Schizosaccharomyces pombe: one gene and its partners. The protein of the gene in region 2 purifies or fractionates together with the protein of the main gene of each other region. This does not show direct contact. Each region holds a gene or a part of one and is shown on either strand. Other genes may lie near its edges.

Region 1 (5,963 bases), on a different chromosome or scaffold from region 2:
AGCTATTATTAAATGATACAATAATTATTTAGTTGATCGCTTAAAAATTTTTTAGAAGCAGCCATGATTGTATCTATTTTGTTTGTTTTGTCCATGCATTGTTTGGTCTCCCCCCGAGCAGTTATGTCCCTATTGCGTAGCTAATAAATCCGCTACACCAACCACAATTTTAAGATAACTACAACAGTTTACTTTTCTTTTCTCATTCCCTTTCAAAATTTATGTTTTCATATTATCTTCAGTAATTTGTATTTCCATAGTTTTTGACGATTGAGCTATCAATATGAATTCTCCAATACAACTTCACAAGAAGTTTTCCACTACAGTTTGGCATGTTCTGAGCTGGATTCTTTATGCAGTTGGGGCAGGTCCTACTGCAATTATAAGTATGGGGGTGTATGTTCCTTTAATTGTTATGAAAAATGCCCATGATCATGGTTTTTTAAGAACAGATCACACAATTCCTTGTTCTTTATATCCAGAAGAACCTTGCTCTTTGAATATAGTTGGTCCGCTATGGATTGATGTTAGTTCTATTGTATTCGCTGCATCAGCTATTTCAACTTTTTTACAGATGGCTATGATGGTTAGCTTGGGTGTTATTTGCGATTATGGAAATAACAGAAGATACATCTTGTTTTCATGCGTTATCATAGGTTCTATTAGTGGTATTATACTTTCGTGGAGTCCCTCGAGTTTTCTTTTGGGAAAAATAGTGTTTTTGATTCTGGTCGACTTGAACTTTATTATATCTCAATCCTGCTATGACAGCTTTCTCCCTATTTTTTTGAGATTCTACCCTATCACGAGAGGACCTATAACATTGGAATCCGCTCTTCAGGATGAAACAGATGACCTAGATAGCTACATAACAAATACCACCATTGATTCTAGTGAAGAAGAGCCCTATTTGCTTGAACACAGCCTAATACTTAATGAATCCGCTCCTCCTGCAGATGTGGAAGATGAACACAAGGCTAAAATCGCTGCTCGATTATCAAGCGTTGGCTTCGGTAGCTTCTTCGGCGCTGCTATTCTCTTTCAGATTATTTTTACTCCCATTTTGTACAAAACTAATAACAATCCAATAATCTTGCCAATAACTGTTACAGTGTGTTCATGTTGGTGGCTTATACTTTCAACCCCCCTTTGTACCATTGTTACACTACCTGTGGAAAATCACTCAAGTGATGCTATCCTGACACTACTTTATAATAGTGTGAAAGAGTCGTATCATTCATTCAAGCATGCAATGAGTATTTCTTCGATTAGGCTATTCCTATTTTCACGACTCTTCATTAATTGTGGAATTCAAACTTCTCTTTCTTCTGCCGTTATTTTTGGAAAAGCAAGGTTGAATCTCTCTAACTTTCAGCTGACTTTGCTAGGAATGGGAATATCTTCTTTCGCATTGTTAGGCACCGTAATTATACCCTATCTTACTGAGTATTTTCAACTGAACTCGTTACAAGTAGTAATGATTATTTCCATCCTCTTGCCGATGGCTCCTTTATATGGCCTTTTGGGTTACATTCCTGGATTTGAAAATGCTGGAATACGAACATCAGCTGACGTTTTCCGGGCTACTTTATTCTTTGGCTTTTTCTTAGGAGGTGCGCATAGTTATTGTAGGTCCGTATACGCTCAACTAGTGCCATCTGGAAAAGAAACTAGATTCTTTGCCCTCTACGCTTTGATATCACAAACCGGTGTGTTATTTAGCCATATTTCTTTAACACTTATTTCGAACTACACATCTGATTTACGTGCCGTCTACATTTTTGTAATTGTTGTTATGACTTTACCTTTGTCTTCTTTATGGATAATGTATCAACACAGCAAAACCCCCAACTTGCATAGGTCCTCCTCTTAACTCACCCACTAGCATTTATTTATTGATTTAATTAAACAAGTCTGCGGTTCTTTATTTTTTCGAGACATTAAACTATTGATTAATGTACAGTGAGCGCCAAGCCTAATTATTTTCATGAGTCTTTCCAATTAATAAACGAAATTATCGAGGATTTAATAGTTAATAGATATATATTATTATATGAATTTAATTCTGTCACCCAAGATTCATCAGTAAGCTAATGTTACCTGAGTCTATATTCATCGGCAGACGAAAAGTATCCCTTAGCCAACACCCATTTCGCCACAAGTCGATTAATATCATATATAACGGCTTAGTGAGGCCATACATAAATTTTGAAATATATTATGTCTTTTGATGGTCTTATAGTTGAAAATGAAAATACGAAATCTGGATACAATGATGGAAATGTAGGTATTTTGAAATCTATAATCTTAAACTAACGAATGTAGGACCTGACAGATTTATTTAAGCAAAATGGTACAGACATGTCTGTAATAAATTCTCTTTTAGGAGATACAAACAATCCAGGGATGAATGAGTCCCCAAAAATTTTAGATTCTAGTTTTGAAAATTCCAACCCTCAGGATGGACCAAATTATGAAGATTTTGACTTTATGGGTTCAATTCATAAGGAATTTGGTAATAACATAAATGAAATGGATGATATGGAAGATGTAAGTGATGATAATCTACCAGAGGAAGAACAAGCTGTAAATTACACCGGGGATAAGGATGATGAAGATTTTGGAAAGCTTTTAGCTAAAGAAATGGGTGAAGAGGCTGCTGGTCAGGTCCTCAGCGGAGTAGGCTTTTCAATTCCATCGGGATTAGTTCCACCTTCCGAACCTTCGAAAACTGTTTCTTCTACTACAGAAGAATTACAAAACGAAGCTCAAATTAGGGAGAGCATTGTCAAAACTTTTTTTCCGACCTTTGAACGTGGTGTTTTGTTGAACTTTTCAGAACTTTTTAAGCCGAAACCTGTTAAGCTTGCTCCTCCAAAGAAAAAGACCCCAAAAGGTATGAATTGATTATTGTTGTATTTTTTTACTGATCTGACATGTTAAGTTTGCGTACCTGGTCGTTTAACGTTAGAAGTCGATACAGATTACGCAATAATATTCAATAGCAAGAAGTCTTTACCATTAAAGCGAAATGTTGTGTCTCCAATATCTACGCATACAAAAAAGCGAAGAAGAACAGCTAATACATCACAGGTATGGTTTGATTTAGAATAGCTTTCACTAACCGAAAGAGGAATGACGGCTTGGATCTCAACACCGTTTTTACTACTAATGATTGGGAAAAAAATATTATTTACGATGAGAGTGATGTTAACAAAACTAATCAATCATCATTTTTTATTGACAAATCACTAGTTGATATTGATTTTGCATTTGATGAAAACATTTTTGACGGAGACACTGGTACCTCGAAAGTAGTATTAAATTTAAATGACCCCAAACTTTTGTTACAACCTCAATTGCCGAAGAAAGAGGATTCCCAAAGATCTTTTGCAGACACCCATCAAAGGAATTCCCTGGCTTGGAAGTTTAATATATCCAACGATCCTGCCTATGAGATGTTAAAACAAAATCATCAGTCAAAAGTTCGTAATACCTTGTCCCAGTTAGCAATTGAGCATGCTGCCTTTGCCGAAAAGCTCACATTTCCTTACTATAAAACAAGACTTAGTAAGCGTGCTGTTCGAAGTTACCATCGACCAACCATGTCGTTCAAACCTAATGCAGCTATTGTCTTTTCACCTTTAATAGTAAGGAAAAGAAGTAAAGATAAACATAAGTCTGAACGAGAATTAATTCCTACTACTAAGGAGATAACAATGGGTGATACCACACATGCAATACTCGTTGAGTTCTCAGAAGAACATCCTGCAGTGCTGTCCAATGCAGGTATGGCCAGCAGGATCGTTAATTATTATCGAAAGAAAAATGAACAGGATGAATCACGTCCCAAGCTCGAAGTTGGTGAAAGCCACGTTTTAGATGTTCAGGATCGGAGCCCTTTTTGGAATTTTGGATCTGTTGAACCTGGAGAAATTACTCCCACTTTGTATAATAAAATGATTAGAGCTCCGTTATTTAAGCATGAGGTACCACCTACTGACTTCATTCTAATACGGAATTCTAGTAGCTATGGCTCAAAATATTACTTAAAAAACATTAATCATATGTTCGTGAGTGGTCAAACTTTTCCTGTTACTGACGTGCCTGGGCCCCATTCCCGTAAAGTGACCACAGCAAGTAAAAATCGATTAAAAATGCTTGTTTTCCGGCTTATTAGGCGTTCACCAAATGGAGGATTGTTCATTCGACAATTATCAAAGCACTTCTCCGATCAGAATGAGATGCAAATTAGACAGCGTCTTAAAGAATTTATGGAATACAAAAAGAAAGGTGATGGTCCAGGTTACTGGAAATTAAAATCGAATGAAGTTGTCCCCGATGAAGCAGGTACACGGTCAATGGTTTCACCTGAAACAGTGTGCTTACTAGAGAGTATGCAAGTGGGTGTGCGGCAGCTTGAAGATGCTGGGTATGGGAAAACAATGGATGAGATCAATGATGATGAAGATGAAGAACAACCAGCAGAGCAACTGTTAGCGCCTTGGATTACTACGAGAAACTTTATAAATGCTACCCAAGGGAAGGCCATGCTTACACTGTTTGGTGAGGGTGACCCTACAGGAATTGGCGAAGGTTATAGTTTTATTCGTACGAGCATGAAGGGTGGTTTCAAACCCGCTGGCGAAACCGCCGACGATAAGCCAGAACCGCAAACTAAGAATGCTCACGCCTATAATGTTGCAAAGCAACAAAGGGCTTATGAAGAAGAAATAAATAGGATTTGGAATGCTCAGAAAAGAGGTTTAAGTATAAATAATCTGGAAGAATTGGCTAAAAAATATGGCATCAATTCTATACATGATGATTACGTTGAATCTAATGAGGAGACTACGAGAGAAGAAACTCCATCTTCTGATAAAGTTTTACGAATTGTTCGACTTTATCGTGACAAAAATGGAAATTTGGAACGTAAACAGGAAACCATTCATGACCCGATAGTCATCCATGCCTATCTGAAGAAGAGGCGTGAGATTGACGAACAATCAACTGCTCTTGATGCCGTCGTACCAACTGGAGACGAAGCAATTGATAGACGCAACCGAAGGCGTCTTGAACAAGAACTTGCCAAGAGTCAGAAGAATTGGGAGCGACGAAGAGCTCGACATGCTGCCAAAGAAGGAATCAACTTGAACGGAGAAGGACGAAAACCCACTACTCGCAAATGTAGTAACTGTGGTCAAGTGGGCCACATGAAGACCAACAAAATATGTCCCTTATTTGGTAGACCTGAAGGAGGTTTGGCTACTATGCTCGACAAAAACTAAAATAATACTGAGTGTTATAAAGAATATTTGACATCTCATGATGGGCGTCGATCGCTCCTTTTTTGTTTATTGGTGATGAATCTAATTATAACGATATTCATTGTAGAAAATGTTAATAATCAATTTATGTTTATGAAATCAAATATATAGTTGACGAACTTCACGTGAAAATGAGTTGAAACTTTCAAATTTTTCGCGCAATAGCACCCTTCATATTAAAATAGCAGCAAATTGCCTTGGCATATCCTTCAAATAAAAAATTGGTAATATAAGGCTTGTTATGAATACTCCCATATGCTGCAAGTTCCTTTACATCAGTGTTTCTTGGCAAAAATGCAGCAACATAAGGGGATATCCTAGTTGCTTCTTTAAATAGAACATCAAAAGCATATGGGTTTAGGTCATTTAATGAATATACTGTTTTTCCTGAGTAACTAGGTCCACCCCAAGGAGGACTCATAAAAACAAGAGACTAGAAAATATTGTTAAACACAGAATTAATATATAAGATTATCTATACCCTGTAATCTTTAGCAAACTGCAAAGATTTAAAAGTGTCAAGAACGTCTCCTTGAATGAAAGTGACTCGAGATGAAGGAATGCCATAAATTTCCAAATTATGCTTTGCCATAGCGATTTTGATAGGATCGATCTCAATTGAGATTACTGAAACAA
Region 2 (8,242 bases):
GGTCGTCCATTCTCTGGACGAAAGACATTAACCTTAGAAAATGCATTTTGTCCATTAGAAGGTACCGTATGTTGATTTTTACAATTGGTACCATACCTGCACCGATTTTGAAGGAAATACTTACAAACGACCATGTTGTTGAATAGTTGAAATGATATGCTAAAGATAAGTATAAAAATGTATCATAATCATATGTTATACTCCAAATTTTCTTATTTTTAGAGTGGGCGTCCCATTTGGAATCGTAGTGTGGTGTAGCGTTATTGCTCCAATTAATCATAAAGTAAAGGAATTCAAAGAACAATTATACCATCATTGGGAGTCTGATTTTTTAGTTGTTGATGATTCAGAAGGTAAAATAAATCCAATAATATTATGAATCCAATGCTTATAGGAGACATTTTCTTTTCGCCAACTGCGAGATATTAGCGCCTTCATGAATTTTACTGTAATTCCTTGTTCATCCAAGAATTCAAGTAAACTTGACTTGATAGAAGCTGGAACGTGCTTTGTTTTTCTGCCAGTGTACTTCTGTGATTTTTGTAAAATTAACCTCAAGTCAGATGAGAACGCTTGAGAGTTTTGAGGTGATTGAAAAGAAATGCTATCAAAATGAAGCATGCCCTTACAAAGTATTAAAGCACACAAAATTGTGCCATGGTTCTATAATTGTAAGTTATAATAACATGTTAAGATCTTACGTTAGTGAGTTGGACATAAGCAGGAATTGAATGCTGAAAGAACACTAGTTCATCAGATGTTTCGTTACCATTTTCATTTTCAGCACTATGCGTTATCGGCTTTGTTTGGACGTAACTTTTACGAGAGCTATATACGGGAACAGTAACGCGTATTCTAGCTACGTTAGTACTATTATATCGAAAGAAATTTAAAGGCTCTGCTGAAAGCATAATCTTAAACGTTGTATATTAGCCAACGCATAGACATGAAATCACATCGTTGAATTCAACAAACAATTGAGGAAAAATAGCTTACCTTTCCTTTGCCGTTTCTTTTAAAGCTGAAATGTAGTTAAGCGAAGGATCTTCATGGATTATAAAAGAATGAAGAGCCTTTTCGTATCCTTTTTTAGGTAATGTCTCATCAAGAACCTGTTTCACGTAACCCAGTTCAGAATCTAATTTCAACGCTAGTTGCTCCGTTAGGATACCACTTGTAAATTTTCGTTTACTACGAAACATATCAAAGTAAGAAAACCTCCTTTCGCAATTAAATAAAGGATATTTAAAGTTTCGTGCTGTAGAGATCGCTTTTCTGAGCATTTTGAAGTGCAATAAGCTGAAGAATAGAATTGTTACAAGCCGTCCAACAAAGATTTGCTTCTTCAATGGATTGATGAATTGTACAGATTATAAATATTTAATGCAATGGGGCATATGACAATAAGCACTTTAACTGAATTTGCTTCCTTATGAGAAGTACGCAAAGCAGTGACTTTAAAGTAATACAGCGGTTTTCACTAAAGTGCTTGTATACCATAGCAATGGATGAAGAAAATAATTAATGGAAAAATCATTATTGTAGACATCTGATTAAAGAAAAAAATAAAGAAATTAAGACTATGAAATTCTTTTTCCTGGTTTTTTAACGGCGTCGATTATAACCATAATGATGAAGATGCGGTTTTTGAATGAAATTGAAAAAATTGGCACAAAATTTTGAAAACATGACTAATAATAAACGTGATGGTAATTTCCGTTTGGACCATGCTGCATATAATACGGATTCGCATACCACAAACCATTCTCACGTTTGGTAAACGGACGATAAAACGCAGAATATGAATGGTTTATTTTAGCTTCAACATTGTATAGAGGGGGAAACTGGCATGTTTCTTTACGATTATAATGATTTCTACTTTTTCGGTGATTAATTTGTGGAATCCAAGTTTTAGCTCCGGGGTTCATGCGAGAAGTATTTGCTCGAACTTTCAAAGGAAGTTCTTTTCGGAGGTATTCTTCTCGGGCTTTAAGCGCAACTAATAATTAATAATTTAACATAAATTAGTCTACTTACGCTCATGCTTTAACTGCATTACCGGAATGCTCATTGTGTCGACAGCAATAGCCTTTTGCAAGCAAACTATGAGATGTGTTAAAAGATGTGAATGGTTCGTTTATTACCTTCAATTTTGTCTTCCATTGTCAAATTATCAGCATGTATATGTGAAATCAATTATAATAAAGGATCTCAAAATAATTTGAATAGTTTCCAAAATTTCAATCAATTTCGAGAAATGATGGTAAAAGGAGCTATATTATATATTTGTGCTTCGTCAAAACAAAATGAGTTATAAATTGCACCGATATTACTTCTATGACCAATTTCATATTTGTTTACACATGTGACTATCATGTGGTAAACAATCGATTCCAAAAGCGTTTTTGTAAACAACAACTACTACCTTTATAATCAATCATTAACGAGTAAAGGAATTGAGGCTAACTCTTCATAATACATATTACCCGGTTCTCCAACAGCGCCTGTTTTCATAATACTTAGTTTATCAAGTTCAATATTATGAGCCCAAAGAAATTGACCGTATTTTTCCATAAAAGGTTCCGAATTAAAAAACCTGATACGTCGCCCCTGGTATTTTATATACCTGGAATTTAACAAGGTGCAGTGTAGCTAGTTTTGTTAGCAAAATTATAATTTGGTTAACATCGCATAATGCGTACAGTAAGAGGTCTAGCGTCTTTAGTAAAAAGATTGTGTTCAGTGAAAATAACTTTTAACCATTCTATGAATTAGCTTATTAATAAAAAAAATAAAAACTCCGTACCACAAAAGGCTTGTAAGTCATTACCATTATGCTTGTCCACTGGAGTAGCATACAGCACCTTGGCTTCCTGAGGAGATTTCCCAAAGAAAGAAGTTCCCTTTAAATCGATTGTAATCTTTTTCTCGCCATAGGATTTTCGGATTTCATCCTCTTTGTTGTATAAAAAATCCATGCACTTGAGAACGTCTTCGTCGTTTTTAACCGGGATCATACCAATAGTAAGATGTGAGACACGAGGGCCACGAAATCCAGATAATATCATGGGATCATTAGATGTTAGTTTAAAATACTTTAAAGATTCCTCGATATAGTGCTCAGATATCGGTAAGGCCAAGAATAACAAATTTGGATATCGCATAATAATTAACAGATTACTATGGCAAAGTATTCAAAGTAATTTATTTACGGAAAGTTGTTCTGCGGCTCAAACAAAATTCACTGATCGCTAATGAAATATGAGGTAAGAGGAAATCACTTACAAATTTATAATGTAATTAAAATTGACTACATAACAATAATCAGGCTGTACTAATAATAATGTTTAACAACGTCGTTTATATTGAAACGAAAATTGTTCTTCATCCTATCCATTGATTTACTATTGCTGAATTAACGAATTTCATATAGCGTCATTAAGAAATATTAAGTTGTCAAATCCTAAAATCGGTAGACTTATTAGTCTAATCTTTAGATGATAAAATGCGAAGCAGTTCATTTGATCATACATATATATCAACAATTCCAATTCTTAAAAAAATAAGAAAGATAGCTGCAATTATTAGATATGGTGAGTCAACGCTTCGTTTGAGTTTAGATACACAGTCCAACTAAGGATGCCAGATGGACTATTCAACACCACCACAAAATTATTAAAAGTTGTTAAACTATAGAAGAAAAATATATTATACATTCTTCTGAAAACGTGATAAGCCGAAAGATATTTTTTAACACTTCGAATACCTAGGTGGCAGTCGACACACGTATAAAAGAAGTAAACGCATGACTAACTACTAAAAATGGCTCAATCTTCCTACTCTTCTGGTAATTCAACTTCAGATTTAAACAAGATTGTTTTGGACTATCTGTTTAAAAAGGGTTATTCCAGGACTGAAGCTATGCTTCGGTTGGAAATATCCAGTGTTGGCGCAATTCCTGAAGAACAGCAAGACTGGCACATCGGTGCTTCTGAAACTTATGTACAAGTTTATATTTTATTAAGAGATTGGATTGATGGTACATTAGATTTGTATAAGCCAAAACTACAAAAAGTCCTTTATCCAATTTTTGTACACTCTTACTTAGACTTACTGCAAAAAAATGATCCCGAAATGGCAATATACTTCTTTGAATCATTTCGTATAGAGCATGAAGTGTTGCATGGCTATGACATTCGAGCATTAGCTCAGTTGAAGATTGCATCAGACGTTGAGGAGATAGAAATAGCTCAGCTTTATCGCAAAAATAAATACCGGATTAATTTCACGAGGTCTACATTTGATTTACTAGTACAGTTTTTGTTCGAAAACGAAGTCAATGGAAGTGGAATAATAATTCGCTTATTGAATCAGTACATTGATATAAAAATTACTATGCCTCAAGTCGAGGGCAAGGAGGACCCTAATGTGCAAGCGGTCTATGAAATGGACGAAGCTAAAAATGAACAGACAATAATTAGTGAGCAAGAAGGAATTCCTGGCCATTCCGAACAGCTTCTTGATTACAACAAGCAAAGCATACAACTTGGATTACGTCCCTTGTCAGAAGAAGTTGTCACAACTTTAAAAAACTTGTTAGAAGTAAAAGATAAAGACGTGGAGGGAAGAAATGAAGCTCTGAATAAAATATTGCATCCTGCAAAGAACCTTGTCGAATTGCTGACTGAAAAAGAAAATCTAATCAACGAATCAACTCTAGAATCACCATCTGATCCCCCATTACCTCCAACCAAAATGAAGGACATAGACTATTTTGTTTCTTTACTGGAAAGCGAACAGAATTCTTTAATACTCGGAAAAAATGCTACGGATCCTAGTGTTTTCATGTATACCATGCACAATACACTTTCCGCTGTAAATTGTGCTGCATTCTCTGATGACGCCTCTATGTTCGCTCTGGGTTGCGCAGACTCTTCAATTCATTTGTACAGTTCTACTAACAATGGTCCGCAACCATTAGTGGGAAGTCAAAATGAGCCTTTACAAAAGTCCTCTTTAATTGGACATACGAGACCAGTTTTTGGAGTGAGCATCTCTCCTCAAAAAGAGTTTATACTGTCATGCTCTGAGGATGGCTTTACTCGTTTGTGGTCCAAGGATACTAAGTCCACTATTGTCAAATATGCTGGTCATAATGCGCCGATTTGGGACGTTCAGTTTTCCCCTTTCGGCTATTATTTTGCAACAGCCTCGCACGACCAAACAGCACGTCTATGGGATGTTGAGCATGCAGCACCTTTGAGAGTATTTGTTGGACATCAAAATGATGTGGATGTAAGGAACTTTATTTAACTAACAATTCTTATGAGCAGTAACTAACCTTGATTTAGTGTGTTTCATTTCATCCGAATGCAGCTTATCTTGCTACAGGATCTAGTGATCATACAACTAGAATGTGGGACGTTCGCACTGGTGGAACAGTTCGCGTGTTTAATGCCCATCATTCTCCTGTTTCTGCATTGTGTATGTCTGCTGATGGCTTATCGTTGGCATCTGCTGATGAATCGGGCATAATAAAAGTGTGGGATCTCAGAAGTAGTAATCAGCACGTTTCATTCGTTAAACACTCTAGTATCGTTTATTCTCTTTCTTTTTCATATGATAACAAAATTCTGGTTTCCGGAGGTGCAGATACTGATGTTAACTTTTGGGATTTGACATACCGGAATAACTTATCGGACGGCGAACAGTCCCCGCTTTTATTCAATTTTAAAACCAAAAATACTATTATACAAAACTTAAGTTTTACTCGAAGAAACTATTGTCTAGCATTAAGCTCTTCCTAAATATCATGTACATTATGGCCCGCAAATTTTGTGAAAAAAAGAGATATATTATTTTAACGATAACTTTGATATTTGTAAATTTATTCATATTTTTTTAAAATACAATTATACGCAATAAGGTTTCGTAAAGTAAAGAAGATGTAAGTTTTAAGCTTAATATGAAGTCGATCATCACTATCAGAAAGGAACATCTAACCGAAGATTATAAATATAACGGATATGTCGAACGCCTACCACCTTACCACTTTAACCAACTTTAAGAATGGCTAAAAAACTTTCATCACCCAAGGAATATAAAGAATTCATTGATAAATTCGATGTTTTTTTGTTCGACTGTGATGGTAAGCGCTAGCAAAAATATGAAATCTATTTGTAGGCTAACACGCAGGTGTACTTTGGAGCGGCAGTAAGCCTATACCAGGAGTTACGGATACCATGAAGCTCCTTCGTTCTTTAGGTAAGTCCCTTTTATTCTTTTGAGTTAACTCTTTTACAGGAAAACAAATTATTTTTGTCTCAAACAATTCTACGAAATCAAGAGAAACATATATGAATAAAATCAATGAACACGGTATTGCAGCCAAACTTGAGGAAATCTACCCTAGTGCTTATTCATCAGCTACTTATGTAAAGAAAGTGCTAAAGCTTCCTGCCGATAAGAAAGTTTTTGTACTTGGAGAAGCAGGTATCGAAGATGAGCTTGATAGAGTAGGGGTTGCTCATATTGGTGGAACGGACCCGTCGTTGAGACGTGCATTAGCTTCTGAAGATGTTGAGAAGATTGGTCCTGATCCTTCTGTAGGTGCTGTGTTATGTGGTATGGATATGCATGTCACCTATTTGAAATATTGCATGGCTTTCCAATACCTTCAAGACCCTAACTGCGCATTCCTTTTGACGAACCAAGATTCCACTTTTCCTACAAACGGAAAGTTTTTACCCGGTTCTGGAGCAATTTCATATCCGTTAATCTTTTCAACTGGACGTCAACCTAAAATCCTTGGAAAGCCTTATGATGAGATGATGGAAGCCATCATAGCTAATGTGAATTTTGATAGAAAGAAGGCTTGCTTTGTGGGAGATCGACTCAACACAGATATTCAATTTGCCAAGAATTCCAACCTTGGGGGTTCTTTGTTAGTATTGACTGGTGTCAGTAAGGAAGAAGAGATTCTTGAGAAGGATGCACCTGTTGTTCCTGATTACTACGTTGAATCCCTTGCAAAACTTGCTGAGACTGCATAGTTCATTCTTTAATTATACCTTAGATTTTCTTAAGTTAATCTCTATAAATACCTCATTCAAATGAATGATTGCGTTGCGAATTACCGCACGAAAACATGTAGAATACGAAATTAAGTTGGAAAGTAGAATTAGCAAAGTACCAATGACCGGAATCAAGTATCTAAAATCGAATACCGTTGGCTTGCATTTGCTCTTCGTAACTATCGTGTGTCCACCAACTATGGAATCAGTAAAAACCTTTTAGTTGACAAGCAGAAACGTACTTAAAAATACGATTAAGCCTGTATACTCTCACCAAAAACATTGGCATTGGGCATCTTCATCTGCACCTGCTTACAAGTTCTTTAATTTAGGTAATCCAGGTTTACTTTAATGTTATTTACATATCCATAATAATAACAATATAAAAGATTGAAAAAATACAAGCATTTATAGTTTTTCAAACAAATTCTATTGACTAAAACCATTCGTCTTTGACTTAAATGCGGCATATAATCACTTGACAGCAAAGCATAAATGATTCTTGTTCAACAACGAACGGTTCCCATCGATTAAGAAAAAAGAGATAAATTCATTACAGCTTTTTTTTCTCTGCAAATTTAAAAATGCTCTTTAATAAAGGTTTTGATGTCTAGTTATCTTTTGCGCTAAAATACAACTCATCATATATATAAAACATTGGAAATACCTGTAATCCGAACTGCAAACTACGTACTAGATAAAGTTATTTTAACGTGTTTTAACGAGTTGTTGCGATGTTTGTGATATTCGTAAGAAAAAGAGTTGACTCTAAAAACTACTTACTGTGTCTTTAAGGGAAACACGTTCACGTGTTTCGTTCTTCTTATATTTATTAATCTAATCCTAATGAATTAGGATGGAGAAAGAAGATAAATCATTTGGTATTGGAATGTTGGATTACAATAGGGAAAACCCAGAGTCTTCTGGCCATAGCAGAGTGGCAGTTATTCGAAAACAGAAAACTGAACAGGAAAATAATAACTTGAGCTGGGAAGATAGGCATTACATACCAGACCTCCATAAGTCAAATAAAATCAAAACGCCAACTTCTCTTGCTGATGAGAAAAAATCCCACAATGAGTTGGATCCCAAAGCTCAGATTAAAAAGCTCATGGAAACCAGATCAGGAGGGACTTATATCCCTCCGGCAAAACTTAAGGCTTTACAAG
Region 3 (8,225 bases), on a different chromosome or scaffold from region 2:
AGACAATTTTTAAAAACATACACAAGTTATTTATTTACAAAGGAGTGTAGGGTTGCTGTAAGGTTAGTAGATAGAATGCAATATTTTAAGGTACATTTTCTTTTCAAGTAATGAAGTACCATGGACGAAAAGGGAAATTGCAAAAAAATAATTAGAATAGAATAGAAATCGTCAGCTAGAGAAGTGCAAAGTAATAAAGCGGTAGTTGGAAATACATTAATACGAATATGGGATAGAAATATTACACGAAAGAAAAACATAAAAATTAAAAGAGTGCATAGGGAAAATTAGAGTCGTTATTGATCCAAAAATGATTCCCAACGCTCAATAATTTCTTTTTGAGATTCAATTGCAGATTCCAACCACGTTTCAACACTAGCTTTGAGATCATCAACTCTACTGGTTGTGAGAGAACTCAAATCTCGTTTTAACAGAGTTGTTGATTCCGAAAACTCTTTTTCCAGATCAGCAGCTTTTGCTCGATATTTTTCGTATTGTTCTTCCAAGTAAGGGAGTGATTTTTGCTGAGATTTCGCTTGCTTTTTACATTTCTCAAGTTGAGTTTTAGCACGAGAAACAGCTTGAACTGAAGATTGCCATGTCTGCCACAACTTTTGACGTGTAGTAAAGGCATTTTTGGCACTCTCCACGTACCGAATGTACTCCTCCAATGTAGTGCCCAGTGTCAAATTGTCTTGAGCAACCTTACGTTCTTGTACAAATCGAAGCTCTACCTGGAGTTGGGAAAGACCATCAAACTTGGATGATAAGGTGGGCTCTAAATCAACTAAAGATAAATTTCCAACAGCCTCGCCAAAATCATGGATGGCTGAAGCGAACTGTATGCGTTGATCTATGGATAAAAGAAGCGCGTGATAAACCGACTTTAGTTGAGTTTCCAACGAATCAAGTGTATCCTTTGCTTCAATTAAAATTGGATCCTGTTCGGAAAATTTAGAAGATCCAGAGGTATGGAAGGCGGAGGTGAATGAGTCAAGTAAACCAGATGTTGAGGGACCTGAGCGCAAAGGACTTGATGAACTCTCAATGAGAGTAGTACGATGTGTCATTCTAGGGTCAAATGTCTCTGCTTCAAGAAACAACTTAAATGAGTAATCATCACGTAGAACCGGATGGGCAGATATTTTGCGAAGCATTACCTCCAAGGCTGCTCGTCGCTGTTCAATAAATTCATCATCAAAACGGCCTACAACCTGCTTTTCCGGGATGGGAGGAATGATACAACCCGGATGATTATTAGAAAGCAATTGATAAAGAAAAGCAAAATCATTATATCGTCTTTGTACAGTCACATTGCTAACAGAAGGTTGATTGTGTTCCTCTAAACGAGTGGAAACCGAATATACGGTATGCGATTTAGTGATTTCCTTAACGGTATGAGGGTCATGAACTTGGATGTAAAACGGGGTAAGAGATTGAGGTGCCGCTGCCGGGTGCGCCTTCTGATTCTCCGTATCTGTTAATGAGGTTGAACCTTGCTTCTGGGAGGAGGCAGATGAGACAGTGTGTGTAAAATTTGGAGCAGAAGATGAGGCAGCGTCTAAAGTATCTACCGTCTGTTCTGAATTTGGTATAGTGGGATTTTCCGTTGCTCCGATAGGAGAAGGGGAAAAGGAGTTCACTTCTGAGATCCAAGGCTTATTTGCAGAAAAATCTGCATTCAAAGCGGGACTAGATCCTTTTAACGGATTAATTTTTGTATTTAAACCAACTTCCAAACGGTTGTTTTCGGGTGCCATAGAAGGTGCATCAGAAAATTGCAAGGGACCTAAAGGTGCAGAATCCAAAGTTAACGTTTCAAACGGAAGAGATTTCAAATTGACGCTTCGTTTCCTAGGAGATGTATAGATATGAGTTTTTGGTGGAGAAGCTTGAACATTCGGCGACTCTTCTTCCACTCCTTCAGCTGAGGGCTCTTGGTCGGTTTTTGGAGGGTTCAGTGGAGAAACGGAATCTGCGAATGGATTAAATGCATCGTCTTCTTCATATATATTATGCCCAAGCATGATGGTGGCCGGTTGGGTTTTTGGATCTGATCACTGAAATCGTGCCTGAAATGGTGATGCGCAGCCCAACGACGACTAGCGAAAAATAACGATGGTTAAATACGTTTAGCAATGCGGGGTGACTTGCGGTGCAACTAGATAAGTGTCAACAATTCAAGTTTCTAATTCCTTTTAAGGCTACATTAAATTATATTTAGCTTGTAGAAGCAGTATATTGCGTTATACAGTATTGTGAGTGGTGGGTGATAATATATTTATCATTGTAACAGCTAATAACTGGACTGAGAATGATGCTCTGTTCAATCTAGACTTCTAATTTTAACTACTATTTTATATCAATATCAATGGATGTTTTAGTAAACAAACATATAGTCTTCTGCTATTGTTCAACAAATTGAGATTAATTGGTATTCCATGTAGTGTATTTTGATGCGTAACGTAATGTTTAATAGCGATTTTAGTGTAGCTCACTGTCTTGTAAGCTACGCAGTTTGGTATCTGATTTAAGGATACGTAGAACTGCGGTGAGTTTTCCTTGTGATCTATTATATTACAATACACAGGTTGTATAAGTAGCAACTGAGTATAGGTATTGTATTAACTGGGTTATAATGTTACCTATCACTAATATAGCTCATAACTGAACTGAGGAACGAGGTTCAGCAGTAGCTCTATTTATAGTATTCAGATAATATAGATCTTAATAGATTATCATTAAGATCAATCTCCATATCGTATCATACATGGTACGATATATAATTAGAACATGTGACATATAGTGATACGCAACGTAGTGTATTATAGCGTAGTGTAGTATTGCTGACAAGTATGTTAAATAAAGCAGTTGCTTCTAACATCGTTAACTACTTCTCTGCAGATGCAATTCACTCATTGATCCATAAATCGTTCATCTTACTACCAAGTCATGTCCTTGACAGTATGGAATATTGAATCCATCAAAGATGTTGCTGAAATGCTTGGGATTGGCAATCTTGCCGATGAACCAGCAGCAGCTATTGCAATGGATCTCGAATATAGAATTCATCAGGTGGTTCAGGTAGGTTTCGTGAAAGTAGACTATGAGATTTTACTTTCTTTGGAAGAGGCTAAAATAACTAAAAAATTGTTGCTAGTTTTTTACGATGCCTTTCAATTTGCTAGATAGTCTGCTTTATTCTGACATTAAACATAATTCTCTAACAGTATTTGATTTAGGAAGCCACTAAGTTTATGGTTCATTCTAAAAGAACTGTTTTAACTAGCGCAGATATCTCTTCAGCGTTACGGACGTTGAATGTTGAGCCGTTATACGGCTTCAATAATTCTCGTCCATTAGAATTTCATGAAGCCGCTGTAGGTGCAGGCCAAAATTCCCTTTACTACCTTGATGATGAGGAAGTGGATTTTGAAAAAATCATAAACGCTCCTCTCCCTAAAGTCCCTAGAAACATTTCTTACAGTGCACACTGGCTGGCCATCGAAGGTGTGCAGCCAGCCATTCCTCAAAATCCAACTCCCTCAGATCACACAGTTGGAGAATGGGCATCCAAGGGTACTTCAGGGGTTATGCCAGGTGCTTCAACTGCTGCTAAAGAAGCTCGAAACGGTGTCACTTCGATGGACAACGTTGAGATAAAACCGTTGGTGCGACATGTGCTATCCAAAGAGTTACAGCTTTATTTTGAGCGTATTACCAGTGCATTGCTTGATGAAACTAATGTTGAGCTCCGTGATGCTGCCCTATCGAGTTTACGTGACGACCCCGGATTACACCAACTTTTACCATACTTCATAATGTTTTTATCGGATTCTGTAACTCGAAACTTAGGAAATCTTGTGGTTCTTACTACTTTAATGCACATGGCCTGGGCCCTTCTTGATAACCCCAACCTTTTTGTAGAGCCTTACGTCCAACAACTCATGCCATCCATCCTTACTTGTTTGGTCGCGAAGCGCCTTGGCAGTGATCCTAATAATCACGAGCATTATGCACTAAGAGACTTAGCTGCTTTTTTACTCGGGATTGTTTGTGATCGATTTGGTAATGTGTATTATACATTAAAGCCTCGCGTTACTCGCACGGCACTCAAAGCATTTTTGGATAACACCAAGCCATATTCCACTCATTATGGTGCCATCAAAGGCTTAAAAACTATGGGGAAAGAAGCTATTAGAGTCCTCGTCGTTCCCAATATCAAAGTTTACGAAGTCCTAGTTCGGAAAACCTTGGAAAAAGGAAATGAAGAGGAGATTTACGAGGCCAATAAATGTATGGATGCTTTGTACGACGCTTTGCTATTACTGCGGGATGATCAATTACCAAATCAACGAACTCTTCCGCCAAATGCTAGTGGTCTTCTTGAGAAGAACGTTGGCAGTTTAATGGCTGAAAAGATAATGAAGGAAAACGATACCTCATTGCTTCTTGGTCTGCTAGAATAGTCTTCGTTGGGCATAAAATATTTGTTTTTGAACAATTTAATCTATGAATCTCGGACTTTAAAATATTTACCCAATTTTCCACACTACCTAAACCATTATAGGTTCTATAATTAAAATGTTATTGATATTCATGTTACATTAAAACAGGAAGCACCGAATAGCTTTCAAATGAATAAAAATAGAATGATGATAATATTGATATAGTTTATTTCATGTTTTGATTAAAGATGTGAGACTAGCTGACAATGCCGGGTTTTAAATGAAAGAAATACGTAATAGAACAGAAAGGGGAAGGAATGCTTGATTATGCCAAAGAATGCGAATAAAAGTAAACGAATTAAAGCAATTAAACTAGGTGAGGGAATAGCACCATAATAAATAATAATACTTTATCAGATATCGATGGAAAAATAACTGCACTAATCGCTATCGAATTCATCATTGTCCCCCATATTTGTGATTACTAGACGTTTCATTCCTTCTTCAGCACTGTCCTCGTCTGAAGATTCAGAACTGCTGCTTCGTCGATTGACAAGATAAGATTGAATATCATGAGTAGGTGATCCGCTACGAGATTCAAAGCCGTCTGATTGAGTAGTTTCGGCTCTGGAGTCTGCTCTTGAATGTATTGACATTCCCATAATGGAAGGTGCAGTCCCACTATGGGTTGAGCTGGCACGTGAAGACTCAATCATTGAGATATATGTTGGTGCAGTATTCGATGTCGAAATTACCAATTCGTCCTCATCGTCATCCTTACCTTCGGTAGCAGATAATCGTGGAGTAAGAATGGTGTGCTGAGGAGCCATTGTACGTGAATGAAGCGAAGCAGGACGGGTGTGATAAACACCATGATGCTGGCTAGAAAATACCCTTGAGCGCATGCCTCCTAAGCCTTTGCTGGAAGACTTCCCATTTTGTGATGAACTTTTGATTGATGGGCTAGAGTGTAAAGGAGCCACACGGCCTATATCACTCCAGACAGTCGCCTTTGCACGGCGTAAACTCTGTACGTAAGAAAAAGTAGAACCATTTGACTCATGGTTGCTATTAATGGCATTCGAAGTTGGAAGGGAAGACCTCGAATATGGATCATCATGGCTCGATCGAGTAGCTAAACGTTCCATGCGATTAGTCTTCTGTCTAGTAATGATTATTATCTATTTATTCCTTCTTTGAATAAGTTGCTTGTAGAGTAATTCCAATTAATTTTTAAAAATTTCACAGACAAATGCCGGGATTAGAAAACGAATGGTGTTAAGATAGACAATCTTTTATTTGATTAAGCAATCAGCTAAAACTAATTAAACAAAGCTCATATATCTTTGAAAAGCGCAAGAATTAATGTTTCGTACTGAAAATTGCAAATGTGCGGAAGCTATGTTTACATGTCTCATTCTCGAACATACGGTGTCCCAGAGGTAAATCTTATTAGGTTTTACTGTAATATCCCATAAATTTCTGTAAATAACAATACGCAATTCAATGTGCTTTAGCGTACTGTAGATTCTTACACAAACGAGCCTTACATGCAAAAAGCCGATTTAATCTCCATTTTCCTTCTTAATTTTAAATACAAATTACATTTGACTTCCGATCTTCACTCATTATAGGAGACTGTACCGATTACATTGCCTATAGGGATCTTTCATCTCTCGTTATTCTCGTATAGCAAATTATAGCGCGTCGTAATTTTCTTTGGACGGCACATTCACTCTTTTGGAAACTGCATGTCTGCGAAGCAGTTGTAGAGAAGTAGATTTAAATGGATATCGTTGCAGAGACTCAGATTGAAGAAGAATCATTGATACCCGACGCCACTAGTACTCCATTAGAAACGGAAGTGGTGGCTGATACTACATTGCGTAAAACAGCTTTACATCTAGCTGGCGTCGATAATCTTTCAGAAGAACAAGTCAAAGGATTTATTTCAGCTTATGCTCCTGAATCTCAATGTACAATTGAATGGATTAATGATAACGAATGTAAGAAGCGAAAACTGGCAAAGGGTTAGTCTAACTCTATAACCGCGTATAGGCAACGTTGTTTATGCGGATGATGATGTTTCACGAAATGCTTTATTTCATTTAATTATGGAGTCTCCGACAGAATTTTCAGAGGAATTGGAATATCAAACGAAACCACACCCAACTGTACCGACGTGTCAATTCAAAATACGTTACGCCCGCTACGGAGACAAGAAGGTTAAAAGCGCACATCTTTACTCGAGATATTATCTGTTTCACGGTGATCCTCGAGAAGAAAAGGCTCAGAAGAGCAAATCTAAAAGGTATAACTTGTGAAAACCAAATTAGTCCGGGTGCACTCATACTTTTCAAAAATCATTTCCTCTACTTTTGAGAATCTCCTTTTACTCAATTTTATATTCAAATTACTAACACTTTCGCACAGTAGAAATCAAGATGAAAGGGGTTCGCCATTAGATGAACGACTAGGTCCTAAAGTGTCTGACCTTACACTGATGGAAAGAATATTCCAAGTTCGACGCAAGCCACGCAAATCAAGGAGAGACCGTCGTTCCAGGGTTTCCAAGCGTTAATTGTGTTGTAGAGAAATATTAAATACCCAGTTTATCCGCTTTTAAGTCGCTTTTCGCTGGACGAAGGCAAGAAAAAATTAATATGCTAAATTAGCTACAATTTTATAAATAAAATTTTTTTATTTAGTTGGCCATATTAAAATAAAACCGTTCTTTTCTGCGTTTAATAGAATACTCTTTTGGTACCTGAATGATATCGATAACCCTTTTAAGGTAGATGTAAGCAAACGACAATTTTGAATGGGATAGTCCTTAGCTTTAAGCAACGTTGTGATGAACAAAAATTACCAATACAGATTTAAATTGTAAGAGCTAAACTCTTAAAAAATGCTTAAAATTTTTCGTCGATAAATGACGGTCGACACAAAATAACTATACATAAATGCATCTGGTCCACAAATGGATAGGTAATAGCATCGACTATTAAAATGGAGAAGGGATCATGAAAATTGAAATGCATTACGGTAATGTAAAACATAGAAATGTAAAAGTCATGAAGACAGAGATCATTAATAAAATGATTACCGCTTTTCCTTTCCACGAGGACGATCGCGGACGAGTAATTTATTAACATTTTTACCTCTTCTTGTTTTGTATCCACCTTTAGCCAAAACACCCCAAGGAGATTGAGAAGGTTTATTACCAATGCTTTTACCACCACCACCACCATGTGGATGGTCACATGGATTCATAGCTGTACCTCGAACCGTAGGACGAATGCCAAGCCAACGTGAACGACCGGCTTTACCAAGCTGGCGATGTTGCCAATAAATATTGCTTACAACACCAATGGTAGCAAATGATGTATCCAAAATCTTTCTCTCTTCACCACTTTGTAGACGAACGATAGCATATTTACCATCAAAAGCTATGATACGAGCGCTACTGCCAGCAGAACGACATAGCTTTGCCTTTTGATTTGGATTTACACCAATGGCATGAATGACAGTTCCTATAGGAATTAATCTGAGAGGAAAACAATTTCCTGGCTTCAAATTTTTTGCTGCAAAAGTTCCATCTTCAATTTCAGCAGCTAGGACGGGGTCCATTTCTACTGGCTCGCCATTAGAACCAGTCTTCAAAAGCGATCGAAAGCTCTCAACTGTATCGCCTTCGCGAAGCCCGTCACAAGCCAAAATATAACTTTTGTTGGCTGTTTCGGAATTCAATTTTTCAACAAGGGCAATGTGACCACT
Region 4 (7,047 bases), on a different chromosome or scaffold from region 2:
AGGAGGTAGAGTTACTTTTTCCTTCGGTCTAATAAAATCTAACGGAGGTCCTAACGCGCCTTGTAAAATTGGCTTTTGGCCGACTTTGGGGGATTTACTAGAATTTCGAATTTGAGTAAACGGTACCCAGGTTTTAGTGAAAGAAGATTTACTTCTTAATGAAAAAATATACCTCCATGTCGGCATAATTTTCAGGTTACCGAATGGAAGGGTTTTTTTGTAGAGTTAGCAAAAGTTTATGTTACTATAAGCGACAATGAATGCATCATTGTCAAGTTGAAGAAATAGTAATCTTCAAGTATATAAATTTATTTATGAGCATATAAATGTATATTAATAAATATATGTATACGTTTAAATAGAATTGCTTATGCAGAAAAATGATTGTTGTAATAAAGTTCGGTACACTTCATTAACAAAACTAATTCTGGCTATCAGTGTCTAAAATACTTAATATGCAATTTACAATCTACTATATAAAATATAAATATATGTATATATATCCAAACCATAACCGATGTTCATTATTATTGTAGCTGATATGCAAAAGGTAAAACGTATAGAAATAAATGCTTTTTTCTTTAAAAAAAAATGTAAAAAGATGTAACTACGCAACACATTTATTCAGGGTTATCGACAAGTTGAGTACGTTTTAACTCTAACTCGGTCACCATACGATTAACGTCTGCAAGGAAACGATTTCGTAGAATGGGATTAGTTGCTTCATCGGCATCCTTTCTACGTTTTTGAATAGAAGACTCCAACTCTGAAATAAACTCACGAACAAGTCTATTTTGTCGTTTATTTTCGCGAGTCTCATCGTCAGCTTCATTTTCCTCTTCTTCTTCTTCTTCCTCCTCTTCTTCTTCTTCACTAGCAGATTCTTCACCTGCGGCACGAGGTTCTGCTGTTGACTCCCGAGTATCTTGACTAAGCTCAAGCATACCCTGTTCAATCTGTCCAGCCAAATCGTCCTCATCCATACCATCAAACATATCAGTTTGCACGCTTTGGTCGTCCCGATCGATGCTGGTACCACGAAGTCCTGCCATTCCATCAAACGATGTATCCTCTGAAAGAGCGATGCTTGAGTCACGAGCCAATTGTGCTTGATCAATCAACTCATTCGATGTACTTTCAGCGCGTTCATCCATTGCAAGCAATCGGTCAACCTCATTTTCAACTGCTTCGATTGTTCTGTTCGAAACACGTTTTCGAAATCGCTTCTGCCGCACCCAATGCATTGGCGTCGTCAATCCATGTGGATAAATGTAATCAGCTTGCTTTAACTGAGTATTGAGAACAGAATTTTCGTGCTCGATTCTTTCTGTAGCTATCAACATTTGACAGATGTCAGCAGCCTTGAAGATAACTTTTTTGTCGAATGATTTATTAGATTCTATGATGCATGGCAAATCAACTAACTTCGCAGCGTACAAATGACCATTAACATGAACAACCGCTCTTCTTTGATCTAACTCTGTTAATAATAATATAGTGTAACCAAGTCATTACCTTTGAACTTCACCCATATGTCTGCACCTCGTCCCACTTCCCTATTTTCAATTGCTTTTCGAACATACTCACAATCTTCACCAGGAGGAAGACGTAATATAATTTGTTCTTCAATATAAGTGTCTTCTTCTCTGTCAGAAGCTTCTGAATCATATCCTAAGCCAGGTTCGCGAACTCTTTTTAACCGAATTTTTGTCAATCGAGGGCCTTTAGGTTCACGTGTCTTGATCTTAATTTTAGGAATTGGGGGAGGAGGACCAGTGGCTGGAGTGCTAGATCGTGAATCATTTGGAGGAGGCTGAACAGCACGAATTTTTAGCTTAACCATTTTCGAAAACCGCCTTTTGAGTAATTGTCGTTGGCAAACGCTCGATTAGCAAGTCGCTAAACCTTCAAGTGAGTCTCGTTATCTACTACTAACGAGCCATAGTGATTTACAACATTTTTTTAATACAATCGTTATCTGCAAACACCTGTCAGCTACGCAGTTTGGTATCTATTTAACGATTCATAGAACTGCGGTGAGTTTCTCTTGCGACCTACAGTATAGCGGTATGTGGTATGTTTAACTAACAATGTATATTTGTTACTATAAGAAGTCCATTAGTATCGATCACCGACATAGCTAAACTACTGAACTGAGGAACAAGGTTCGGCAGTAGCCCTATTTATAGTATTCAGATAATAAAAATATTAATAGATTATTATTAAGGTCAATCTCAATACTGTTTCATACAACGATGAATGATTAGGACATGTGTCATATAGTGATACTCAACGTAGTGTATCCTTGAGTAATGTATTGTTGACAACACTACTTATTTATCCCACAGTAAACAATGTAAATAAAGCGCGAAATTGTTGATCGATGCAAAGGTTAAGGTAAAAAGGGTTTTCAATGTAGCTAGGAATCCGGGATTTACTCACTTATTATACCATTTGTAGCATACTAATCATATTGAGTTAGCATATAATATAATAACAACGAATGTTTGACAAGGCCACTAGCGACAATTGTATAATACGTGAAAACAAATCACTTTAGTTATTTAAAGTTTTCTAACATAGGAACATTATTAATTGTAATTACATTTAAAACTTTTGAAATCTATCACAATAAAAAGCGATTGCAAAAAAAAAAAAAAAAAAAGGAAGCAACACAGATGATGTGCATTGTAACAAATAGATCAATTACGGTGAACAACTTTAATACAATACAACTAACAACGATAAAACATTCATTTGAAAAGGGGAACAATTTTTTTCATTCGTAACAAAAATAAAGCAAATTATTCATGAAGTTATAAGGGGCGTAAAAAACTTTGGAGTAGGCCGAAAAGGTTGATCATTAAATCACTAGATTAACGGGAAAAGCTTACAACTTTTTTAAAAAAATAAAAAAAAGGAAGAAAGAAAAAAGGTAAAAAAAGTTCCAAGAGGAAAGGAAGCACACGAAATAAAAGACTACTATAGAAAAAAAAACACTCAGGACATTAATGATCAATGAAGAAAACCCGCTTAAAAATTTCTTTTCTTCTTTTGGATTTACTAGGGAAAATTGAAGCTGGGGATAAAAATAATGCCTATGGATGAATGTCGGTCAAGTGAGGACTATGACGAGAAGGGGGTAATCTAAAACGCTCGGTCCATCCAGTTTGTTCTTGCCATTTTTGTGAATAGGAGTCAACGGCTTTAATAGCGTCAGCAATTTGAGATGGATTGAACTTCTTTGACATGTTGTGAATACTCTCATCAGGTCGCAAAGTAGCTCTACCTACCATCAATAACTCTTCATCGGTTACGTTGGGAATACCAAGTTCCTCAAGGGTAATGGGAAGATGACATTTTGCCATAAAAGAAGCAAGATTATTGAAGTCTTCCAACGGCCAATCCTCCAAAACAACTTGAACTAAGGTACCGTAAGCAACCTTTTCACCATGCATTAAACGATGAACGGGACCGTGGATGGCGGTCATACCGTTATGGATGGCATGAGCAGCAGCAAGACCACCGTTTTCAAAGCCTAGACCAGACATCAATGTGTTGGCCTCGACCACGTTCTCAAATGCCTCGGTACAAACACCGCGAGTGTTGGAAAGAATAGCGCTCAGGGCATACTTTTCAAGAGTGTCTTTGCAAGCACGGGCAATGTAACGGCCAGCAATGGAGGCCACACCTCCGGCAAAGGAAGTGGAATTTGAGCGAATAACGGATTCAGTTTCCACCCAGGTGGACAAAGCATCACCAATGCCACTAATAAGGAAGCGGACGGGAGCGCGAACAATCACATCGGTATCGATGAAAATGAGGTTGGGATTAAGGGGGTAAAAGCTGTATTTTTGGAATTGACCGTCAGGAGTGTAAATGACGGAAAGAGAGGAAGTAGCGGCATCAGAGGAGGCAGTAGTAGGACAAATGATGGATGGAAGATTCATGGAATGAGCAATATACTTTGCGGAATCCATGGTTTTACCACCACCAACTCCAATGATGACTTGAGTATCATCAGGGCACTGTTTGCGAAGTTTATCCAGTTCCACCAAGCTTGCCTCGCCGCCAAAGACCAGTTTGGTGACAGTCATTCCGTTTTGAGAAAGAGAATCGACAATTTTATTGGCACAAATGTTCCATACGTTCTGGTCGGCAAGCACGACAGCTGATTTAGTGGCCCATTTTTTGACATACATATAGGATCTAGTGAAGGCATGACGACCCTGAACATACTTTTGAGGAGAGGTGAAAATGCGATCTTTGGATTCTTCAAACTCTACACCAACTTTGTGAGGCGTCTCCGTTTCAATAGGAGCATAAAAGCGTTTGCCCCAACGTTGTGCAACGGCATTGGAAGAGGCGAGCGCAAATACTTTAGAGTTCCTGTGGGCGAGGGAAACGAGAGGGAAGCGAGGGGTTGCAGCGCAAAGACGAGGACCAATCATTATGAAGGAAGTTCAAAGACTAGCTAAGCGTTACGAATAGAAATCGAATCAAATCGAAGAAAAGAGAAATACAAGAATAGGCGTGTGGAACGGTTCTTACCTTTCTTGAAATTTATTTCGATACAGAAGAATCCTTATTTAAAAAGAAAAAGGAAATAGGTAAAGAAGCACAAGTAACTAAGAAGGAGAGAAACGCAATGGAACAGAGGTCCAAAAAGAAAAAACAACTATATGTGTATATATATACTTGTTTGCGGAATCAATAGACAGTCGAAAGATCACGAAAGTTCCAAGAATGAACGGGATATATGATCTCGGCTGGCCAAAAAAAAAGGGATCGACGTAGTCAATGGTGATTGTCAAAACTAGAATCAGCCGATCGACGGTAAACGGGAAGAGTAGGAAGAATGAAAAGAGAAAAAATATTTAAAAATTAAAGCAACGAAAGTTGATTAAAAAAATAATTAAAGAAAAGAAAAAAAAACCCAAGTGGTAGTGAAAACTTGCTATGGTTTTATTTTACAATGGAAAAAGCAATTCTGTTAAAAAAAGAAGAGAAGAGAAGAGGTGGATGGATGGATGGATGGATGGGGGAAATATGGAAAACTGCGAAAGCAATAACCAAGAGCAAAGAATTCAGCGCTGCCCCTCTACATATAAACTTGATGAGAGGGCGATGACACCACACATATCCACCGCAATTGCCAGTTCCCCACTGCGGAAGCCAAACCCAAGCAGACAGGAAAATAACGTAACAAAAGATGAGGCAGGATAAACCCATGACTCGTTGGTCTCATAACTGCGTCATAGGGGCAAGAAAGACAACGTGGTATGCAGTACAAGACAAAAGCTTACTTGCTGAAAATCTGGGGAAATATATACAACAGCAGTCATTCGCCAGTTCCTTAATAAACGCTCGCTAAAATGACGCGACAAAAAATGAGGAGACAGGGATGAGCAGTGCCACTCAACGGCGAGGGAAAATGGGAAGAGTGGAGAGAAAGGCGGGGTCCTGCTACAATTAGAAAGCATTTGAAGAAAAAAAAGTGGATAAAAAAAAAACAAACAAATAAACAAACATTAAGAGAGACGAATAGTGGGGAGAGTGGTACAATTAGATTGTTTCTCCCCAAGATGGATAGATAATTTTACTGGTATCTGCCCCACCTTTTCCCATTGTCTCATTGAGATCCCCTCCATTCCAGCCCCAGCATTCTTCCTCTAGTCTGCAGTATGATTTCCCTGCTCCTCTTCCTCCAAAAGTTTTAGTGCCGACTTTAGATGATGAATGGCTGTCGTTGTGTCTTCGTAGTCTAATGCACTGTATGCATAGCGTGCATGACTTCGAGCAGATTGGATAGCCTCCAAGGCGGAAAACTTGTTCAAGGGGGAGGCTTTAGTCGGTTGAGATGGCCTTGATAGAGGGGCATTTGTTCTTGTTGTGGCTAAAGTTGACTTGCTGGAAAATGCTACTGACGGATCGATGGAGGTGGAGGTGGTGGTGATTGACGTAGGGGAGGGAGGCCGATGCCCATCTGATGTTTGCTTTGACTCAGGAGATAAACTTTGGATATGCGAGGAAGAGCGAGTGGAACGAGTAGGATCTATTGTTGGCAAATTTTCGGTTATTGATGTAGTTGAGGGGAACGTGGTAGGCTCATATGAATGGGAAGGTGAATTTAGTTGTGGAGCAGCCGGTGTTGAAGACAACGATTTTACGTCTGCTTCTACATTAGGCTCGGAAGATACGGCTGCAGACTTTGTAGGAGAGATGGAGAGCGATGCTGCTGGAGATGTAGTGGGGAGAGCAAAAGATGTTTCATGAGAAGCAGAGGCATTCGTTTCAACGGCGGCTTCTTGCGTAGGTAGGGTTGTGGAATTTGTGGAAGATTGCTGTAACTCCTCGGTCGCGTGGTTTGAGGGTGTTTTGGCCTTTCGTTGGGGATTTGCGACTTGGAGCGCACGTAACTTGCAAAATTTGATTGACTTGGTAATCTACGTAGCAATAGGGGTTAGTAGGGAACAAAAAATCGTTATAAGCATCATAAAGCATCGTTGTATAATACAAACGAGAGAGAAAAATACCGATAGGAAGGAAATCCTCAGAATGGCAAAAGAAGAAACGAGTCGAAAAAAAAAACACATGGTAATGTGAATTGGAAAAGACGATTTTGTTTTTGACAAAACAAAAATAAAAAATAAAAAAATTTCCAAAGAACCTTCATTTTTTCATTTTTGTTGATCGTGGTTTTCTTTTTTTTTTCTCCTAAGTTCTGCTCGTTACTCTTTTTCATTCCGTCTCACTTGCTCTCGCTGTTTTTGACTCACGTACCTGTTCCGTAGGTGGTCCCCAGATTCTCGACAACTCTAGAAAATCTCGGGCTGCCAAATACGCTTGCACATCTGGTTTCCCGTTTTTGCTATTTCTTTCGGCCTGGACAAGAACTTCTAGGGAAAACGATTCAACATACGCCTTTGCACTAGTCTCGTCACTCACATTCTCATTCTCGCCCAAATTTTTACGTAACTACACACGCCATAGAGCGGTTAGTACCACAGAAACATTTACATAGTTGGTCTCGTAATCCAAAAAAAA

Evidence for each region.
Region 1: the proteins of taf51 (region 2) and taf1 purify together in Schizosaccharomyces pombe (affinity purification with western blotting, with the first as the bait; 2 studies listed by BioGRID). This does not show direct contact.
Region 3: the proteins of taf51 (region 2) and taf6 purify together in Schizosaccharomyces pombe (affinity purification with western blotting, with the first as the bait; one study listed by BioGRID). This does not show direct contact.
Region 4: the proteins of taf51 (region 2) and taf7 purify together in Schizosaccharomyces pombe (affinity purification with western blotting, with the first as the bait; 2 studies listed by BioGRID). This does not show direct contact.

The regions. Positions count from the first base shown.
Region 1 is NC_003424.3:836,100-842,062, forward strand, and holds taf1 (transcription factor TFIID complex, histone acetyltransferase subunit Taf111), read left to right. Parts: upstream 1-2,138; 5' UTR 2,139-2,220; coding exon 2,221-2,283; exon of another isoform or gene 2,284-2,325; coding exon 2,326-2,896; exon of another isoform or gene 2,897-2,911; intron 2,912-2,944; coding exon 2,945-3,093; intron 3,094-3,131; coding exon 3,132-5,288; 3' UTR 5,289-5,463; downstream 5,464-5,963. Other genes in the region: vacuolar amino acid transmembrane transporter Atg22, read left to right, coding at 284-1,873; RNA methyltransferase Tgs1, read right to left, coding at 5,473-5,760, 5,809-5,954.
Region 2 is NC_003423.3:3,030,059-3,038,300, forward strand, and holds taf51 (transcription initiation factor TFIID subunit taf73), read left to right. Parts: upstream 1-3,648; 5' UTR 3,649-3,822; coding exon 3,823-5,295; exon of another isoform or gene 5,296-5,351; coding exon 5,352-5,807; 3' UTR 5,808-5,881; downstream 5,882-8,242. Other genes in the region: nuclear rim protein Amo1, read right to left, coding at 1-134; SPOM_SPBC15D4.11C (Mam33 family protein), read right to left, coding at 313-663, 702-855, 997-1,283; protein mug98, read right to left, coding at 1,692-1,999, 2,038-2,071; SPOM_SPBC15D4.13C (ASCC1 family protein), read right to left, coding at 2,434-2,652, 2,703-2,764, 2,831-3,164; pho2 (4-phosphoerythronate phosphatase/2-phosphoglycolate phophatase, involved in detoxification of glycolytic by-products), read left to right, coding at 6,070-6,148, 6,196-6,264, 6,304-7,052.
Region 3 is NC_003421.2:696,409-704,633, reverse strand, and holds taf6 (TATA-binding protein-associated factor TAF6), read left to right. Parts: upstream 1-2,936; 5' UTR 2,937-2,952; coding exon 2,953-3,084; intron 3,085-3,242; coding exon 3,243-4,469; 3' UTR 4,470-4,888; downstream 4,889-8,225. Other genes in the region: retromer complex subunit Vps5, read right to left, coding at 297-2,027; protein mug123, read right to left, coding at 4,889-5,596; RNA cap binding protein cbc3, read left to right, coding at 6,235-6,454, 6,507-6,759, 6,882-7,029; rml2 (mitochondrial 54S ribosomal protein uL2m), read right to left, coding at 7,551-8,225. UniProt on the Schizosaccharomyces pombe protein: Functions as a component of both the DNA-binding general transcription initiation factor complex TFIID and the transcription coactivator SAGA complex.
Region 4 is NC_003424.3:2,171,910-2,178,956, forward strand, and holds taf7 (transcription factor TFIID complex subunit Taf7), read right to left. Parts: upstream 1,879-7,047; 5' UTR 1,844-1,878; coding exon 1,516-1,843; exon of another isoform or gene 1,475-1,515; coding exon 621-1,474; 3' UTR 501-620; downstream 1-500. Other genes in the region: mismatch repair ATPase msh1, read right to left, coding at 1-186; glycerol dehydrogenase Gld1, read right to left, coding at 3,099-4,451; vta1 (Vts1 family protein), read right to left, coding at 5,673-6,446, 6,784-6,978. UniProt on the Schizosaccharomyces pombe protein: TAFs are components of the transcription factor IID (TFIID) complex that are essential for mediating regulation of RNA polymerase transcription. Also involved in the transport of mRNA from the nucleus to the cytoplasm.